Medicago truncatula: one gene and its partners. The protein of the gene in region 1 interacts with the protein of each later gene in a pairwise test. Links are inferred from orthologs where the notes say so. Each region holds a gene or a part of one and is shown in the gene's direction. Other genes may lie near its edges.

Region 1 (7,806 bases):
GTTAGACTTGTCTTTGGTATATTCTAATGATCTTTGACAGCACTACCTTCAGTTTTGCTCTATGGTGGAACTTCCCCGGGGTATACACTCTTATTTTACAGGTATATGGTATGCTTGTGTTTGAGTGATATGGAAAGATCGGAACAAACATATTTTCCAAAACGAGGCAACACATTATCTCGTTCTTATGGAGAAAATCAAACGCAACTCTTTTTTGTGGTTGAAAGCAAAGAACATTTTTTTTTTAATTACTGTTATTATGATTGATGGACACATCCGCTCCTTTGTATGGGAGTGCACCAGTAATTTATCTTAACTGTTACTTGAGGGTGCCTTTCATTTTCTGGCATATGGTTGTCTGTAAATATTTTGCGGTGTCTCGCTTTTTGCAAGTCTTATGTTGGGTGTTTCATCTGCATTATTAATATATTTCATTTTAACTTGTGCAAAAAAAAAAAGAAGTTTAAATGGCATTAGTGTGAAGGGACAATAATTAATAGGCCAAATACCACTTTTGGTCCTTTTAGTTTGACAGAATTCCCAAGTTACGAAAGTTTCAATTAGGTCATTTTAGTTTGACAGAATTCTTAAGTTAGTCCGTTAAGATTAAAAAGTTTCAAATAGGTTCTTTTAGTTGATAAACTATTTCACCGTAACCGTTTCAAAAGTTTCAAATAGCTCCTTTTAGTTTGAAACTGTTGAAACTTAAAAGGACTAGCTGACTTGAGAATTCTGTCAAACTAAAATTACCTATTTGAAACCTTTGAACTTAAAGGACTAACTTGGGAATTCTGTCAAACTAAAAGAACCTAATTGAAACTTTCGAAACTTCAAGGACTAACTTGATAATTATGTCAAACTAAAATGACTAAAAGTTGTATTTGGCCTAATTAATACTATAAAAACATGAAAGGAAATTAAACCTATTTGAAGATTAATTTTTGTATTATTTTGTATTTCTTAAAAATGTAGTTTTAACCAAAATACAAAATAATATAAAAATTAATGATATAAAATAATAAGTTTAATGTTTGTATTTTTTTATCAATGATTTCAATGCTTGAGATTTTTTCTTTCTGGAGGTTGGGTTCTATGGTTGATGCACGTTAAGTTTTAACTCATTCTTTGCATGCATGTCATGTTTACTTCAATGCAAGTTTTCTATATTTGCCACCATCTATAAGAAATTTGGGACAATGCATCATATACTATTTCTCAATTCATTATCTTAAACCAAACAATCAGCCAATTGACTATATTTCTCACTTATTTTTCTTTTCTCGCAATCTCTCTTCTTTATATGACATCACAATGAAACACACCATAAATAATAATCATGGAGTGAATAAAAGACTAATTTTATTCTAGAAAAGGCACGTGAATCAAAATACGGATAACTTGTTTGATTTTATAAATATTTATAAAATCAAACAATTGAAATGAACCAAAATTATCCTATAAATTTCTTAAAAAAAAATTTATCTTATAAATTGTTTGCTATTAATTACTTTTGAAATATCTAAAATACAACATATATAAGGGACAAATTTCGAGTATGCTTGTAATAATTAATAGTAATTAATTAAATACGTCGTGTTTGTTGTGGTGAGCATCAATGTGATCATGAGTGAATCTGAGACTCGAGAAGTGAGGACGGTGTTCGATTTACATACATGTACTTGTGAGAGGGAATGATGATTCCTTTCAGACTTATGTGAAAACTTGTACTAGTTAGTTGTCTATATGGTCTTTTTGTTTGAGGATGTTTCTTTCTATGGGAGCAGAAAACAAACACAATGAGATGTACTATGTTGAGTTACGTAATGTTGTGTCTGTTTGTAATTGTGTGTTCATCTATTCATACATACTTACTTATTGTGTACTTGATTTATGATTTACTCATCCTATCTATGCATGTCTATGTTTCAAATTGTGTGTTACTTGTGTGTGTGAACGAGGACTCTCTCAGCAAGATGCCAATGAGTGTAATTTGTACCTAGCTTTGGGATAACTAAGTTCAAGATTATACGCCTTATCTATAATATTCCTTTATGCTAGCTAGATTTAGGCTTTTGTATTTATTTTTATGAGGGATGTTTCGAGACGGGATAAGTTTCAAGTTTTGGTAAAAAAAAAAAAAAGAGTTCAAGATGCGAAATCTTACGACAATGGTAAATTGTAGAATCTTCATGAATGAATGTGGAGGTCAAAATCCGAGGTGGATATACTGACGATGGAAAACACTCTAACGTTTAAGTTGAAGTAGATGTTAGGGTTAGAACTAATGACACGTACATTTTAAGTCTTGTGCTCATATAGGTCGACAAACGTGGTATTGAGAACAATAAATGTTAGAGATATCATCAAAAGAAACCTATTAGACCAGGTCAAGCCCAATATCACGTCAAACAAGGTTAAAAAATCGCAAACAACACATATGTTAACCTCATATCATGTTTGATTAAATCGAACATGCATGCCAATTCAAATTCGAAAGCTTGCAAATATGACAAACTAAAACCGACACATCCCACTTAGGGGTTTTGATTCTCTCCATTGAAAATTCGTTCAGTTTTTCTCCATTTTCATTCTCCAGTTTTAAAACACACAACTACTTTTCTTTATAATTTAACTTTTATTTTCTCTCTGTCATGTTTGATGGTTGTGATTCAACTTGAAAAAAATTGAGAAATTTTTTAGTGGAGAGGATCTACACCCCCACTAAGATACGTTGTCAGTAACCTTGTCTATTACGATTTTGGAGTCATTTTCTACATGAGTTGTGTTTTTAAACAACTATTTTATTGACAACTTATGTGAAAACTATAAATTTATAAAGAAAAAGTATATATCGACATGAAAATCAAGACAATAAAGAGATAAAATAAAACATAATATGAGTATGAGAGAGAAAATTGTCACAAAAAATATCACAAAATAATTGTACAAGTATCGTTTCTCTTTTTACATAGATGAAATATACTCTCCCATTAAGCTAATAGCAAGGTACATTTCTCATATATATTTGGAGGACAACCTCAACACGTTTAAAGACTTAAATAAATTTTCATAGTGATGCCTTTTAAATTAAAGATATAGAAACCGAGTTTCGTAGAGTCTTAAATTTGAACTTAGGTTAGGCATATATGAAGCTCTCATTTTCACTAATTTAACTTGGATAACATCTACTTGTTGGGTCATAGGGGAGCCTGAGGGACCATCCACATCGAGGCTAAAACAACATATTTAAAGACTTAAATAAATTTCCATAGTGATGCCTTTTAAATTAAAGATATAGAATCCGAGTTAGTCTTAAATTTGAACCTAGGTTAGGCATATATGAAGCTTTCATTTTCACTAATTTAACTTGGCGAACATCTACCTGTTGGGTCATGAGGGGAGCCTGAGGGACTGTCCACATCGAGACTAAAACAACCACATAAGCGAGAGAGACACCACATTCTTACCCAAAACCTTAAGGCAATATGTTTATGGGTCCTCTTACTTATAAGGTGTTCAACCTTTCGTATTTTATCCGATGTGGGACATATAAGTCACACTTGCACACAACAACACCCCTCCTTAAGTGTGAGTCCATATTTTCATCATGGTGTGAGTCCATCTTTTCATCGTGCTCCCCCTTCAAGCGAAAGCTCTTACTTGCTTGAATCGTCGTTGCTGGTTTCTCCGCAAACGGACCGACACTACTTGTACCGTCGTTGTTGCTTTATGCACAAACGGACTGACTGTCTCGGTCATACCCTTCGTCGAACGGGGCTCCGATACCACTGTTGGGTCAGTGAGGGGAGCTTTGGGGGACCGTCCACATTGAGGCTAGAACAACCTCACAAGCAAGAGAGACACCACACTCTTACCCAAAACATTAAGACAATGAGTTTATGGGTCCTCTTACTAATAAGGTGTTCAACCTTTATTTTTTTTTATCCGATGTAGGACATATAAGTAACACTTGCACACAACAACACTACCATTAGTTAGTCATATTATATATTTTTTAGAAAATTAATTTTTTTAGAAAATTTTTTGAGCAAAAACTTTGAAGCCTAAAATCATAACTTCGACTGATACTATATTTTCGCATGTTCAAAATTTATATTTATTTAAAGACTTTTAGTGTATTGTACATAAAAAGACTTTTATATATAAGTTTTATTGTGCTAATATTAACCAAACAAAAAGTTGTTCAAAACTAAAAAAAATTACTCCATGAGAATCAAATTAGGACAATCCATTTTTCTTTTTCCAGTTATCATGATATTGATATGAAGTTTTCACCGACGCTTAAGGCACGATTAATCTTCGTTAGAAAACATGCGGAGCACACACAAGGTGTATTCCCCCCTACAACAAGATTTTTTCATACACAGGATGCATCGATCGAACTCCTAACCATTTAGTTATAAAGTTTAGATCTGTTATCACTTGAACCAATTCATTGTATCAAAACATATTATGAGGTGAAAGGTGTCTCCTTTGTTGCATGTAGATATGCCCAATATTTTTTCTTTTTTTATAAGTGTATAAGATTTGGGTGCTAAACTGCTAATAGCATTCCCAATACATTAGGCCGAATAGCATTAACAGATTTTTCGGGTCGAACTGGGCCATATTATTTCAAACCGAATTACCCGTACGTTTCATCTTCAAAACCCGGTTCGTACAGAAAGTAAACCCTTGTGTCAGAAACACCGTGAAAGTGAACTCAGTGTAAGCTGAAAGGAAAAGTGCTTGTACTGAATAATCACTTATCAAAGTAAAATCACAATGGCTTCTTCCAACAATTCAGTAGCAGAAAACAACAAGAAGAAAACCAAAAAACCACAAACCTCAACTCCTACAAGCAAAATCAAGAAAGACAACAAAAACATTGAAAAATCCAAAGAAAACAACAACAAGAATAAGAAGAAGCTCAATTTCACAAATGGAAATTCCAAAGAACAGGAAGAAAGTGGAAGAAAAAAGAAACATGCAAAGGATGATGACGAAGAAGAAGATGCGAAAACGCATGTGTTTCCTATGAATCGAATTAGGACGATGTTAAAGGGTGAAATTAGCGATTTGCGTGTTTCTCAGGAAGCTATATTGGCTATTAACAATGCTGCGGTAATTTTATGAATTTTTATGTTGATGTTTGTATTGGTTATTGTTATGTGTTTTTGATTCGGTTTTTGTGTTTTATAGGAGAAGTTTCTTGAACAATTAGCGGAAGATGCTTATGGTTGTTGTGCTCAGGATCGGAAGAAATCTTTGAGCTACAATCATCTATGTAATGTCCCTGTTGCTCTCTACTTTTTTCTATAAGCTGTTATATTTGTACTTGCTACTTGTGTTTGGTGTTTGGTATGTGTCAGTGTCCAACACCGACAAATGTGGTTGCGTTTAAATTATTTTCGGTGTCTATGTGTTATGTTAATGTCAAGTGCTTATGTCTGGGATTCATGGCATATCAGCGCACTAGCAATAGCCCAAATCTAGTAGCTTATGGGTGTCTATGTGTTAATGTCAGTGTTTGGGCTAATTTGGATAAACAACTTATTTGCAGCTTATCATGATAAGCGCTTATGTATAAGCTCACATAAGCTATTTCTATAGAAAGGATAAAATAAAGTTATATTATTTTTGTATATGCTATAAGTTGTTCTTACAAGTTAAATTAGAGAACTTATGAAAATAACCTGAGAAAAGCTTTTGAAAATTGTCATAAGCTGTTTTCATAAGTTCTCCCAAATAGGCTCACAAAACTTATGCTAATAGACAAGCTCAAATAAGTCAATACAAATTAGCGTCTATATTCTTGGAACTTAAGGGATGCTTTTCTTTGTTGGAAAATATTGGCTTGGACATTTAGGTTTTGTAATCTATTAGGCTATGATTATTATTATAATATAAGTGCTTTTGAGTGAGAAATATGCATTCTGCTCAAACAGTTACAAATTAATATGTGAGAGTGGATTGTCAATTTTGTACGTCTCTAAGTACTGTTATCCGTCCGTTTATTGTTTTTGACCATTTGTTACCTTGTGATTGGTCATTTACTAGTTTTGTTGTGTTTTCATGCAAAAATATTTGTCATCAATAACAATGTAATTTTTTTTTGAGTAAATAACAATGTGATCATAACTTAGCAAGTTAGCAGTGATCTTTTGTACTTTAAAAATGAACTGCTTGAGTAGAATTCTTAGGCATTTGTGGTTACTTTTCTGAGGAGAATAACGGATAGGTAAGTTGAGTTTTGAAAGAGCTTTTGCCCTTAAGGTAGGGAATATCAAACTGGTTTTATTTTTTTGGTACATTGAGGCTTACAATCTAGCAGCTGTCCCAAATGAAATCTAGTTAATAGTAAATATTGAATGAATTCAGTATGAAGTTTTTTCCCCGCATAAAAATGTTACAAAATCTATTCAACCAATCATATTAAGCCTATCAGTTCATGGGGACTTAGAAGGCATGGATGATAAGACACATGGATGAAAACATGTTGTGCGATACTAGTAACGATTCAGTTCATATACGATTTTGCATATTGATTGATTATCTCTCCATGTGATGTGAAGTGTGATGAATTTTCAGTTATTATTTCTCTTGAACCTTTTCCTCTATTCACTTCTGAATGGTTTTCAACCCATTCACTTATAAATATCACCACTACTTTGTTCTAGAAACCTATATTCTGATTCACATGAACTAAAATTAACCTATTATTAAGTTAGGGTCAAATGGTTCAGAGATATGGTAAAATCATTAAACTTCTTCAGTGCTGTAAACTAGAAAAGGGAATGGTGGAGGTATTTTTTTAATATTTTCTTTTACTCTTTTGTATAATTGCTGTCATTGCAAGCCATTTCAAACATTGCTTTCTTTTTCCCTGTGCAATATTGAAGGAAATCTCTATCATTATCATGAATAAAAATCTGGTAGTTGTCAAGAGAAAAATCATTAATCTAACCCATTAATTAGGCACTGGGAGTTATCATTCACCGTAAGTCTTTTGTTCTGTTAGTTTTTTTTACTTTGATCTCTATCAATAAGAGCAAAAGCGAGGAGGGTGTGTTCAACAAAATTTCGTAAAACCTTGTTTGTTTTGTTTTTGGTCTGCACTTAGCAGTGTTAAATTGAAAATATGAACCAACATAAGGCTTAATATTTGACCTATGCCATAAGTAGGTTGTAAAAATGCTACTTTGTATGTCCATTGGAATTGATCCTTGTGCATGTTTATTTATGTGCTGTTTGTTCATTGAGACCTTTTTTCCAATTACTGATAAGACAACTGCTTTGTGTTTCAGCACGTGTTGTTAGTAAGCAAAAAAGATATGACTTTCTGTCCGGTAATTTCTTATCCCTGTTGAAATTTAATCTGGTGACCATTGAAATATTTGAAGTTCACCTTTCCATGTATTTATTTACCACTAATTAAAAGGGTTTCTGCATTGTTTTTGCTTGTTCAGACTTTGTTCCTGAGAAAGTGAAAGCTGAGGATGCATTAAGAGAGACAAACTCAAGAGGGAATAAAGGAGGTTAGGAAATGTAAAACACAGAAAGTGGTGAACCTAAGTCAATTCTTTTGTTAAACACATTCTGAAATGGAAACATGTATGATGGTTAGTACTTAGTAATGCACTGTTTTACATCTCCATAGTGTATTTACCGTTGCACTCTTCTTTAAAGCTTCCATCTCATATGGCTAGATTTTTCTTTTCTTGCTGTGGCTATGCGAACTTGATGCTTGACATTTGTAACGGTTATTTTCGTTTTTATTTTTATGCTGAAAATCCCATGGGAAGA
Region 2 (6,006 bases), on another chromosome or scaffold:
ATTACACTGACAACATTTCTTAAGAAATGTGAAAAATGCAATGGATGGCTACATTAAGGGACGGAGGGAGTAACTAACAATGATAAACTTTTTCTAATAATTCGAGTGAACTAGAATCAATCATCCAAAAATGAGATAAGGTGTCTATGTGAGCTTAACTCAGTTGATAAGAACAATGCATAATATTTGCAAGTTCCAGAGTTCAAATCCCGGACACCAAAAAAAGAAAATGAGTTAAGGTTAAGATATTCATTTGATAATGCTTAAGTCAGCTAACATTATTTTCCATGGGTTTAGACACTTAATTATTGTCTTAGTGGACAACACTGTAGGATACAAATCTTTAGTCCCATGATGAGAGGTGTCTAGTATGAGTCTTCAGAAGCATATATTGATGACGTGAAAGTGGAACCCTTATACCTTTGCTATCAACATGAAAGCCAACCAATTAGCATCAAACTAATCATAAATTTCAAGTGACATCGTGGAGCAATTGGTGTGATGTTTCATCGGCACTGACCTTTAAAATGAAAACTTGGGCCCCCATAGTTCATGATTAACTGCCAGATGGCCCAAAGTGGTGGATTGATGTTTTATTTAAGAATCAGTCCTCTTTCGAAATACCTTAAAATCCCACGTCGTTTAGAAGTCAATATAAATTGTCCTAATATATATACAACACTTATACTCCTCAACACAATGAAACAATTTTTATAAAGAATAAAACCGTAAAAAATTTACATCTAAAATAAACAATACCTCAAAACACGATATAACATACTTGAGGTCTAAATGAAACAAGTACGTACTATTATTTTTTTTTTTTTATGGTCTTTCATAAATGTTAATTAAATTAGTTGCAATCAAGTGAGGGATGCTGCTGGATTTGTCTTAATGTAGTAGTACACACACAAAGGGAAGAATATAGTAGTATGGCAACGCGACTATACTCCCTCCAGAACGAAATGCAAGTAAAAAAATGTAATTGAAAAGTTGATGTAAGTGAACTAAATTTTTAACTTCATACATCAACTTTTTAAATTTTTTTTTTTTATATTTTATTTCGGAGGAAGTAGTTCATAAAGAGTGTGTGTATAGACAATCTTTTATGCTGATTCTGATTTTCAAATCATTGTTATTCCTAATACCGTTCATTCAAACTCCAATGGCTTTACTATTGTAGGTTTATGCACAAGGATCAAAATAATTTTTTCTTATTTTACCAGGGATCAAATTGAGAAGGTATATTTTGATCTCAATAATAACTTTTTCTTTCAAACAAATCTAAACAAACACCATTATCTTCATTCATTAATATCAACAAATCCAAAAATACATAACATCGCCAAAGGAAATGAAAAAAAGGGGCTCAAAGAGAGAAGGAGGACATTCACAATGTATAGAAATTGTCCCTCACAAATGACTAAATCCACGTCGTATCAAAGGTCATAACGCTAATGCCACATTTTTACATTTGTCTGCAGACTTTTGGTTTATGAATTAACTTATGGGAAATGTTAGGCACGGGTGGTGGTTGTGTAATCAATATATTAAAAGCTTAAAAAGTATATATTTTTTTATTTATAATTTTTTTTTTTTATTTCCTTAACCAGTGTTTCGAAGGCACTGATTAACATGACCTTAACTTATTGTCTCAATTTATTTTTGTGATAGAGTAAAATTGATTTTTATCTTTAAAGATATTAAACTCAATTATATAATTATTGTAAAAGATAAAAATGAGACTTAAACATGAATCATCAAAATCTATCTTCAACGTCAACAATGGATTGGTCTAATTGGTAAGAGACTTGAGTCTCTTAAGCATGCAGTCAGAAATTCGATTTTTGACTCCGGCTTATAATTTTTTTTGATTGGGAGGGTAGAAATATATTCGTGATTCCAAATATGCACTTATGACATATTTGGTATCACGATTGGTTGATTGAAATTATGGTGTCACCGTGATTTTATAGAAGCTTCAAAGTATATCTTTTGTAAATTTACGGTGACTCATCGTCATTTTGTTAAACTCATCCCAAATTCAAACAAGCATTTAATATATTTGGTAGCTAAAATGAAACAAACATCAAGTAAATGTGCTCAGCACACTTCATACTAGAATTATATTCATTATATACGAATTTTTCTATGGCATATATAATTGACAAATAATTGTCTATTTTAGGCATGTGATCATACGTTCAATCTCTTATCGATGCATATGAAATAACACTTGTTCAAAAAGTTAACTTTTAATTGAATCTTCATATTTTGAAAGATTAATCTCAAACTTACGGCTATAGGAGAGACCTAAAACAAAAACAAAAAAATGTGTTTAATGTCACAACATGCACCACCTTTCGTTCAACCAAGCCTACTTTTTACTTTTGAGATAACTTAGAACACCTCCAATTTGATTTTAGTCCACCAACTTGTAGGTTAAGGACACCATTAAAACAAAAAATGAAAGAATTACTTTAAAGTGATAGGGGAGCATGACAATACTATTGTAGTCTTGTTGAGTTGCACCATTAAAGGTGTCCTTACACCATTGTCTCCTTTCAGCAGTGACATGGATGCTTGGATTCTAAGGTCCATGCAGTTCCAAGTCAATGTTAAAATTCAAACACACGTGATATTCCCCTTCTTAGACATGAATGGCCTCAAAATATCCACGTCTCAATACAGTACCACAACAATTATACATTCTTTTCTGTTCATACTAATTATATGATATGATTTTGGAAGAGGTGGTTGGACTTTTTGTTCATACTAATTATATGATTTGGTAAATTTCATCATAAATAACTTATTTTTAAAAGTTAAACACACTAGTTTAATTCACTATAAATTGTAAATTATACCTATTTCATCTTAAATCATTGTTGAAGTTAGTGTTTCTTTTCCACATTATATGAGATGTGCGTCAAATAGTCAGAATTCAAATATTTTTTACCATATGCATCTACATTTATACATCTATCTTCATAAACGTTATGAACTTCTTAAAATAACTTACGTATACTATTACAAAACAAAATTTCAAAGTCAGATTCCACACGCTCCCGCAACTTTTTTAATGAATATTCATCATGACAATTTTGAAAACTGAATTTGCCGGAATCATAAGTGGATTTTCAAAATAAGGGTAAAATTTGATTAATTTTGGAGATAGAGGTATAATTGAGATGATATGAGGTAATTTTTTCTAAATTTAATTCTATAATTCACACACACAGACATCACTCATCAACACCCATACATTCCCCACTTGCCCACTTCCCCCCTCCCCCCATTCCTATGAATTATATAATTCACCCGCCAATTTCCAAACTTTTTCATTAATTAATTTTTCCACATTTTGATACCATACCTACTTTTTTATCTTCACTTTTTATATACTTGTTGGTTGGTTACATTAAAGAAAACTAAAATTCTATGAGTCATGCTACTAAGTGAACTCAAAATGAAAGTTTTGTATTGACAGTAACATTTTTAAATATTTTAAAAGTTGAGTATACAACTTTCAATGTATTGTTATATTTAATTCCTTGACAAAGATTTTCCTAATTTTTTTTGTGTACAAAAAACATTTTCCTAATTTGATTAATAATAAACAACTCTCATATGTTCTATAATTTTATTGAGTGTGTATGTGACAACTAATTATTTTTAAGTGAATTTTAATTTTGTATTAATTCTTCTTTGTAGGCACCACTACCCACATTTTTTTTTATCTAGATGAATCCAAGAAATTTATGGCACTCGTTAACATGACTCTCTTTAATTAATAATAAACGTACTCATATTCTATGATTTTGTTCATTGTATATTCAACCTCTAATTATTTGCAAGTGAATTTTAATTTTGTATTAATTTTTCTTTGTAGGCGCCACCCACCACCCACATTTTTTTTTATCTAGATGAATCCAAGAAACTCAGGACACTTGTTAGCATGACTCTCTTTAATTAATAGTAAACGCTCTCATATTCTATAATTTTGTTCATGTTATATTCAACCTCTAATTATTTGTAAGTGAATTTAAATTTTGAATTAATTATTCTTTGTAGGTACCACCCCACCCACATTTTTTTATGAGCACAAAAATTCTTTATAATTATATCTAGATGAATCCAAGGAATCCCACAATCTAATCCAAATCATTATATATAGTTTACACTATGGTTTTTTTTTTTCTTCCTCACTTCACACCAGTGACAACAATATTTTATTATGTTAGCATATGAATGAATATATAAATGCATACACACATATAATAAGACCATATATGGTTGGTAGCATTTCAAAGATAGGTTTGCAACTATGGCTGAATCAGACAATGAGTCAGGAGGTGGTCAAACAGGTTGCAGAGAGCAAGATAGGTTTCTTCCAATAGCAAACGTGAGTAGGATCATGAAAAAGGCTTTACCAGCAAACGCAAAGATCTCAAAAGAAGCAAAAGAAACAGTACAAGAGTGTGTATCAGAGTTTATCAGTTTCATAACTGGAGAAGCTTCTGATAAGTGTCAGAAAGAGAAGAGGAAAACAATCAACGGTGATGATCTTCTTTGGGCTATGACAACTCTTGGATTTGAAGATTATGTTGAGCCACTCAAGATTTATTTGAGTAAGTATAGGGAGATGGAAGGAGAGAAGAGTGCTATGATTGGTAGGAGTGATCAGAGAGATGGGAATGTTGGTGAGGGTAGTGGTGGAGTTTATGGTCATGGAGTTGGAGTTCCATCTTCTATGATGATGATGATGGGACATAATATGTATGGATCTGGGAGTGGATCGCCATCTTCTGGAAGGAGTACTCGATAGCAGAGACTAATCTCTCGAGTCAGATAAGATCATAATGAGCAGAAAACTTCTGTCTTAAGAATACGAACTCAAAATCTATAATTAAACCGAAAGAAATCGGAGTCATCTCATCTAAATACTCTTGGCTAGACAACAGGTTTATGTATGCATATGTTTGATATAAATTCATCTATTTTTTTTTTTAATTTAGAGTACCCTAGATATATTGTTGCAATTTAATTTGTTGTTGAGGGTACAGTGAAACATTATGGATGGTGGTTTGGAATTAATGCAAAAAGTATTTTTCTTTTTATTTTTTGTGGGAGGTGATAAATGATGCATGTATAGTTTGGAGCAATGCTATATATTAAGAAAGATTTTATTAAGAAAGATTTAAGAATGACATGACAGAATAATCACCCTTAAATTTTATCAAGAAATTGTCCCGAAATTAATGTTAGCTAATAAAATCTCAGCCTCACCGGAAATCATGGGGTGGTGGGTGTTATGTATTTTTTTTTTTATGAAAAGTGAATAAATAAGACTGAAATCTAAAGGTGATTATTCTGTCATGTCATTCTTAAATATTTCTTGATCAAATCATTCTTGATATCTAACATTTTCCATATAGTTTGTTGTGTTGTGTACTATTTCTGTTATATACACCTACTTCTTTGTTACATTGATCATATACGTCCTTTAATTAGAAACTAGACTATGAATTTATTGAAGAACCCATTGATGTTAGAATTGAGTAGCTAATTGATGTTATTAATTGGTATGTTTTGATCACACAATAGGTTGGTCTTATAAGTTTATTATCAACATGTTTCGAAAATCGAAGACGTTAAATATAGCGAGAATATTATCACGAAGCCATCATAACTAAGTGTGATTAGTTATTTCGCAGTTTCCTTTTTAAACTCTAAACAGGTTTCGAGAGATTTCACGAATAAAGATTACGTTATATATATATAGCATTACTCTGAGAATGTGAGTGAGTCAATGTTTCTTAAACTTAGGAGTGAAACAGAATCATGTAAGAATATGTCATGTGGAATTTGGTTTTAGCTACCATAAAGATACAAGAAAAAAAGTTTTAAATCGTCTCGCGATCCTTTTTAATGGAAAAAATTACGGTCAAATATGGCCAATGCAATATCAATTGAAGTCATATTGTGGTCGTATAGACATAAAAA
Region 3 (5,978 bases), on another chromosome or scaffold:
ACATTTGTCAGTAAAAAAAATTATACACATGCTCGGTAAATGCTAGTATGCTGATTGCTAGCACATAAGCAAAAACGGTTGGAAACTTTTACGGTACACTCACAAAATGAGGTGTACCGGTACTCTTGCTTCATAATTTTATAAATTAATGATCATTTTTTGTGAAATAAATAACTATTTATCAACATTTATATTTTAAAGAATATCATTTCATAAGAAAAAACATCATTTCATTGTTTATAAGAATTTTAGTAATATTTTTACATATTATCGTAAAAAAATAATCAATGTTCTCAATTTATGGGTGATAAAAATTCAAAAAATATTAATTTTAATTCGTTGACACTTTTGATGAATAAGATTTAGTTATTATAATTATAAATGATAATTTTTTTTTTTTTTTTTTATCAAAAAACAACTCATTTAACTATTAATTTAAAGAGTGGATGTAGCAGTACATTCAAATATATTGGGTGTACCATAGAATTTGCCTACGAACTATTTCTCTCACTCTAATTCCATTCTATTTCTGTGTTCATTTTGCAGAAAAATGGAAGCTACTAACAATACCACCACCATTGATCACGGTGGAGCATTTCTTTCTTCAACATGCCAATATATTATTTTATACTTGAAATATTTGTTATTCTCTATAGTATTGGTGTTTCATTTTAATTGTACTTGCCACCACAATATAGAGCTCCCACCAAGAGATTGCATTGTCACCCATTCATAAACATTGTTGAGTTCATCTCTTATTTAATGTGAGAAACAATCTGTTAGGTCTAAATTGTCTTGAATATATATTTGCTATTACTTTTGATTCAGCTTTTTTGTTGTTGTTGTTGTTGTTTGTTTTGTATATATTTTAGGCATCTTTCTTATATTTGCTCCCTCCATCTCTAAATAATAGTAGTCGTTTAAGATTTGTGTACGATTATTAAAGAAATGATTAATTATGTTGATTTCGATGGTAAAATTAATATCATTTACTAAAAAACCCTAATTAATTGTACCCTTATTAATTGTAGTTAGTGAAGTAGTTCAGTTGAATGAAATTCAATAAATAAAAGTATAATAATGGAAAATAATAATAAACGATTCATTGATATTCTAAAATGACAATTATTTTGAGAGAAAAAAAAGATGATAAAAAGACAATTATTATGAGGCGGAGGGAGTAACAATTATCGTGACACGAATTTTCATACAGTCATTCATTTAGCTTGTTAACCCAAATTCATTCTAAAAATAGATTTCATTTCCACGTTTTAATTCCGTGTTCAACTTTGTAGAACACTTTTAAATAGTTCTATGAAATTATAAATATGTTTAAAAGGTCTCTGATTTTGTCAAATATACCCCTATTAACCCTTTGATAGTAGTGTTAGAGACTAAATTGATAGCAAGTGGTTAAATATTGTGACAAACTTTATACGGTAGTAAGTACCTAATATAAACAACCTAATTGATAATAAGTGATTAAATATAGGGATTAACATGATAGTTTAATAGAGTTAATGAACTTTTTAAAATATTCACAATTTCATTGGACATATTTGAAAGCATCTTACAAAGTAATGACTAATTGTTTTTTTTTTCTTTTGGTTTAAATGCGCTTTTGTTCTTCTATTAAAAAAAAAAGTAAAGTGGTTTTGGTCCCCTTATTCTAAAATTAAGTTTTTTGTCCTTGTATTTAATTTTTTTATTTTTTGGATTTTTGGCCTCTCATCTTATTTAAACATTTCTTGATGATATGACCTAGTCATTTATAACATGACAATATTTACTAGACATGATTTTGTTTACATGAATGTTTGTTGTGGCCTATTAAGCGTTGTTACGTCATAAATCAATAGGCCACATTATAAAAAAAAGGGTTAATGGTGCTTTATCCCCTGTAATATAGGTTATTTTTTTGTTTTCCCTCCTGTAAAATATTTTTTTTGATTTACCCCCTGTAAAATATATATTTTTTGGAATACCCCCCTAATAGGTCATAAAAAAACGAAAAATTCTGTAAAAAAAAAAAATAATAAAGTCGTTTTTTTATGACCTATTAGGGGGTATTCCAAAAAATATATATTTTACAGGGGTAAATCAAAAAAATATTTTACTGAAGAAAATAAAAAATGACCTATATTACAGGGGTAAAACACCATTAACCCTTAAAAAAAAAACCAAAAAATAAGATGAAGGACAAAATTCAGAAACTACATAAATAGAGGGACAACGGTTGTTCTTGGATGTTTTTTATTTATTTAGTGGGATAATATATATAAGTTGTTATCAATCTGATTTCTTCGTGCAATCGCCAATAAGGACTAATAATACTAATACTATCAATCTGATTAGCAATCATCTCAACCTACGACAACTTTCAAATCACATTCCATAAGGACCTTGCGAAAGCGACATTTTTGAGGTACCCAAAATACAAACAAAACAAGTTCACCAACGTCTGATTCTATTCCAAAATACGAACAAAACAAGTACATGCCGCTCTATGGTTATTCAAGACATACGTACCCATTTATATTTGTACAATATCTAATCTAATGGAAGGACCTTCCAACAAAATTGGATATGTTGAAAAACAGAACCATGATTCAGCTCAATAATTCTATCTGAATTCAAGCACCAACCTTAGCCTCCTTCCCATATGCATAAGAATAACCTTACGCACAAGTCAAACGTATCATGCCGGAAAACCACTTGATTTCTTGAAAACCAAATCAAGTGGAGATAATTAGAAAAATTAAGCCAAACCACTTTGGCCTTCACACAATATCTAAGGATATGAGAGTTAGTTTCCTCATAAGCGTTACACACGTGACCGGACACAACGCCACGTCGCCACCACCCCGCCATTTTTTTAAGAATCTTCTACATGAGTACTCTTACTCTAGGGTGTTTCTTTCAAAACCAGAGCTCCCTTCAAATAGGGTCAAATGCACGATTTTCACCGTGTCCTTCAACCAATCCATAAGAGTATCTACGATCAAGATACCAATTTTTTAGTATTTAAATGAGTTCAACATGTAAACATTGATTAATTCCTTTTTTAGCTTTTAACTTGTGCCCTTAGCACGTCCCCATAGTTAATGGAGGTAATAATCACTTTGATCCAGAATGTGTAATGAGTAGCGCAATAGTCGAAATTCTAAAATGTAGTAGTCATTAATTTTTTACTCCCTTAGTCAAAATAGTTTTTTATGATAAAATTGTTCCTCAATATTTACAATAACTATTTTCTTATAAGGACTAATATGATAATAAGTAAATACTAATAAAGATTAATATTGTCAAGAAGTCCTAGCTCAACTGGCAAATGCCGAAATTGCAAGGCCGGACGTCATGACATGGGTTTGAACCCGAGACCTCACAGTTGTGTGTGAGTTTTAATTTCAGTGGATTACCACTTCATCTAAGACAAAAAAAATAAAATAAAGTTAATATGACACTGAGTAAGCACATTGAGGGACTAATATAATACTACCTCCGTTCCTTTTTAATTTGTCACATTTTGACATTTTACACAAATCAAGACAATCAACAATTGATACTACTTTTGATGCAATAAGCTATACTTTTACTATAATGACCTTATTCATTTAATATCTTATATCATATATTTCTCTCTCCGCAATAAAAAACTAAAGACAATATTGGTAAAACAACATTTAATGTTGCATTGAACTTCGAAAGTGACAGTTAAATAGGAACAAAAAATTTCTCCAAAAATGACACTTAAAAAGGAACGGAGGGAGTAGGTATTCATGTACATCGCTACTCATTTTTCAGTCAACTTCGTTAAAATATATTTATGAATCATTTAACATTGAAATGGTAGGTCCAAAAATGATTATGAAAACAAACATGATTACTTACCCACATAATTTGGACAAGTATTTCAAGCTTAATTTTATAGATAAGTATTACAAATGAAGTAAAGGATCAATTTTATTTCAAATCAACACTGAACAAAAACATCTATCAATAAATTAAAAAGATTTGTACCAGCAAAAATTGTCCAAAAAAATAAAATAAAAAAAGTTAATTAAGTTTGGTAATTTGTCATCAAAGGGTATTTCTATTTGTATTGACAATAATAGTGTTATCTAAGTTGGAATTGGATCGGGTCGTGGCAGTTACATGAAGTACTCAACATCTAGAACGAGTCCGGGGGACTTGCCTATTTTTCTTTTTTTAACTTTTACTTCTCCTAACTAACCCTTCTTACTTGCCTATTTTTATGCCTCACTTTCAGTTTATCTATCTATACAATAATGTAAATTTTAAATGTAATATTGTAAGGTCACGTAACATCCTATAAGCTCATTAATTTAGTTCCAATGGATGATGAGAGTCATAGTAATTTGCCAAATGGATTCAACACAGAAAACCCTGAAACTCATTGTTTAAAAACAATCAACAACAATAATCATAATCATCATCACAATAGCAATAAAGAACAAGATCGTTTTCTTCCTATAGCAAATGTTGGTAGAATAATGAAAAAAGTTATTCCTGCAAATGGAAAAATCTCAAAGGATGCAAAAGAGACAGTTCAAGAATGTGTGTCGGAGTTCATAAGTTTTGTCACCGGGGAAGCATCGGATAAATGTCAAAGAGAAAAAAGAAAGACAATCAACGGTGATGATATTATTTGGGCTATTACAACGTTAGGCTTTGAAGAATATGTGGAACCATTAAAATGTTACCTTCAAAAATATAGAGATATTGAAGGTGAGAAAGTTAATGTTCCAAAACAACAAAGATCTGAACAAAGGCTACATCAACATCAACATCAACATAACCAAGATGAATTAAATAATCAACATTTCAACAATAGTGTATATACATCTACAAATCTCATGTCTCAAACTCCTTATATGACTACTGATCAACCATTTCCACTTCCTTTCTCTCCAAATTCGATTCAAAAACAATTACGACAGCAAGATCAGATTGATTCCATAGGGCATTGGTATGAATGAGTAAGACCAAGCTAATTTTATGTTTGGTCTTTTTTTTCTTCTTCTTTTCTTTTTGATATAACAATATAATGTAATCTTAGATATAGAATTATATTTATGCGTATAAGAGTATATATACACATACAATTAATGTAATGTTTTTTGCCACTTTTCAAAATAAAATGATCTTGAAGCTTTTGTTTGTCATTGATTGTCGTGTAATATTGACAAGGAAAATGATAAATTGCACAAAAGTTGCACTAATTAGTGAATATGCACAACAAGTCTAAATTCAATCATATGCCAATATTCAAACAGAATCACTCAACGTACTTATGATGGCCAATGACTCATGAGAGGATTCTGGTTTGTTAATTAAGTTACACCTTTTAAAGAGGCAAAATTGATTTCAGAGGCGCATAATTAATTTTGACGTGCTTAGAGAATGCTTAGATTTTTTTTTGAGAGACAGAGAATGCTTAGATATTCTCTAATAGAATTGATTTAGCCATTTTAACTTCTTTTGTGAGAGAAAAAATAATTCTAACTTGTCCCTCGAGTGAAAAATATGATTTACTCATACAAAATAAATATATTCATGGAGAAATTTAAAAATAAAATATAGTTCATATTGTTTGGGTGCAATTCATTTTATTATGAGCTACACTAAATGTTTGTTCGTAGATATTATTCTACGCAGGTATACATAGAAAATATGGTAACAACAAAGGTAGCAATTATTATATATCTGAAATGCAATCTTAATCAGAAACAAACTCCCCAGTAACTAGAAGCTTGAGTTGGAATTAATCCACGAGACGAAATCTGGAAGAGTGTTGGGATCAGCCCTATGCTTCCTTTGTGTAAACTCGAAAAATTGTTTCCAAGTGAAATCAGGATATTTCGTTGGCTCTTGTCTTCCCAGTATATTTTCAGGTGCTCTCACAATTTTGTCTCCTTTTGGACACAAAAAGAAAGCAAGAGTCTTTCTATCCTTCT

Evidence for each region.
Region 2: the proteins of DNA polymerase epsilon subunit 4 (region 1) and nuclear transcription factor Y subunit B-3 interact in binary tests that used the Arabidopsis thaliana proteins (3 or more experiments, as listed by UniProt). The link is inferred for Medicago truncatula from reciprocal best matches to the Arabidopsis thaliana genes NF-YC10 and NF-YB3.
Region 3: the proteins of DNA polymerase epsilon subunit 4 (region 1) and nuclear transcription factor Y subunit B-3 interact in a two-hybrid assay, tested with the Arabidopsis thaliana proteins (2 studies listed by BioGRID). The link is inferred for Medicago truncatula from reciprocal best matches to the Arabidopsis thaliana genes NF-YC10 and NF-YB7.

The regions. Positions count from the first base shown.
Region 1 is NC_053045.1:30,234,185-30,241,990, forward strand, and holds DNA polymerase epsilon subunit 4, read left to right. Parts: upstream 1-4,602; 5' UTR 4,603-4,785; coding exon 4,786-5,124; intron 5,125-5,202; coding exon 5,203-5,287; intron 5,288-6,731; exon of another isoform or gene 6,732-6,806; intron 6,807-7,307; coding exon 7,308-7,349; intron 7,350-7,469; coding exon 7,470-7,543; 3' UTR 7,544-7,804; downstream 7,805-7,806.
Region 2 is NC_053043.1:9,773,520-9,779,525, forward strand, and holds nuclear transcription factor Y subunit B-3, read left to right. Parts: upstream 1-4,183; 5' UTR 4,184-4,327; coding exon 4,328-4,828; 3' UTR 4,829-5,120; downstream 5,121-6,006. UniProt on the Arabidopsis thaliana protein: Component of the NF-Y/HAP transcription factor complex. The NF-Y complex stimulates the transcription of various genes by recognizing and binding to a CCAAT motif in promoters.
Region 3 is NC_053049.1:43,430,780-43,436,757, forward strand, and holds nuclear transcription factor Y subunit B-3, read left to right. Parts: upstream 1-4,355; coding exon 4,356-5,000; downstream 5,001-5,978. Other genes in the region: gibberellin 20 oxidase 3, read right to left, coding at 5,767-5,978.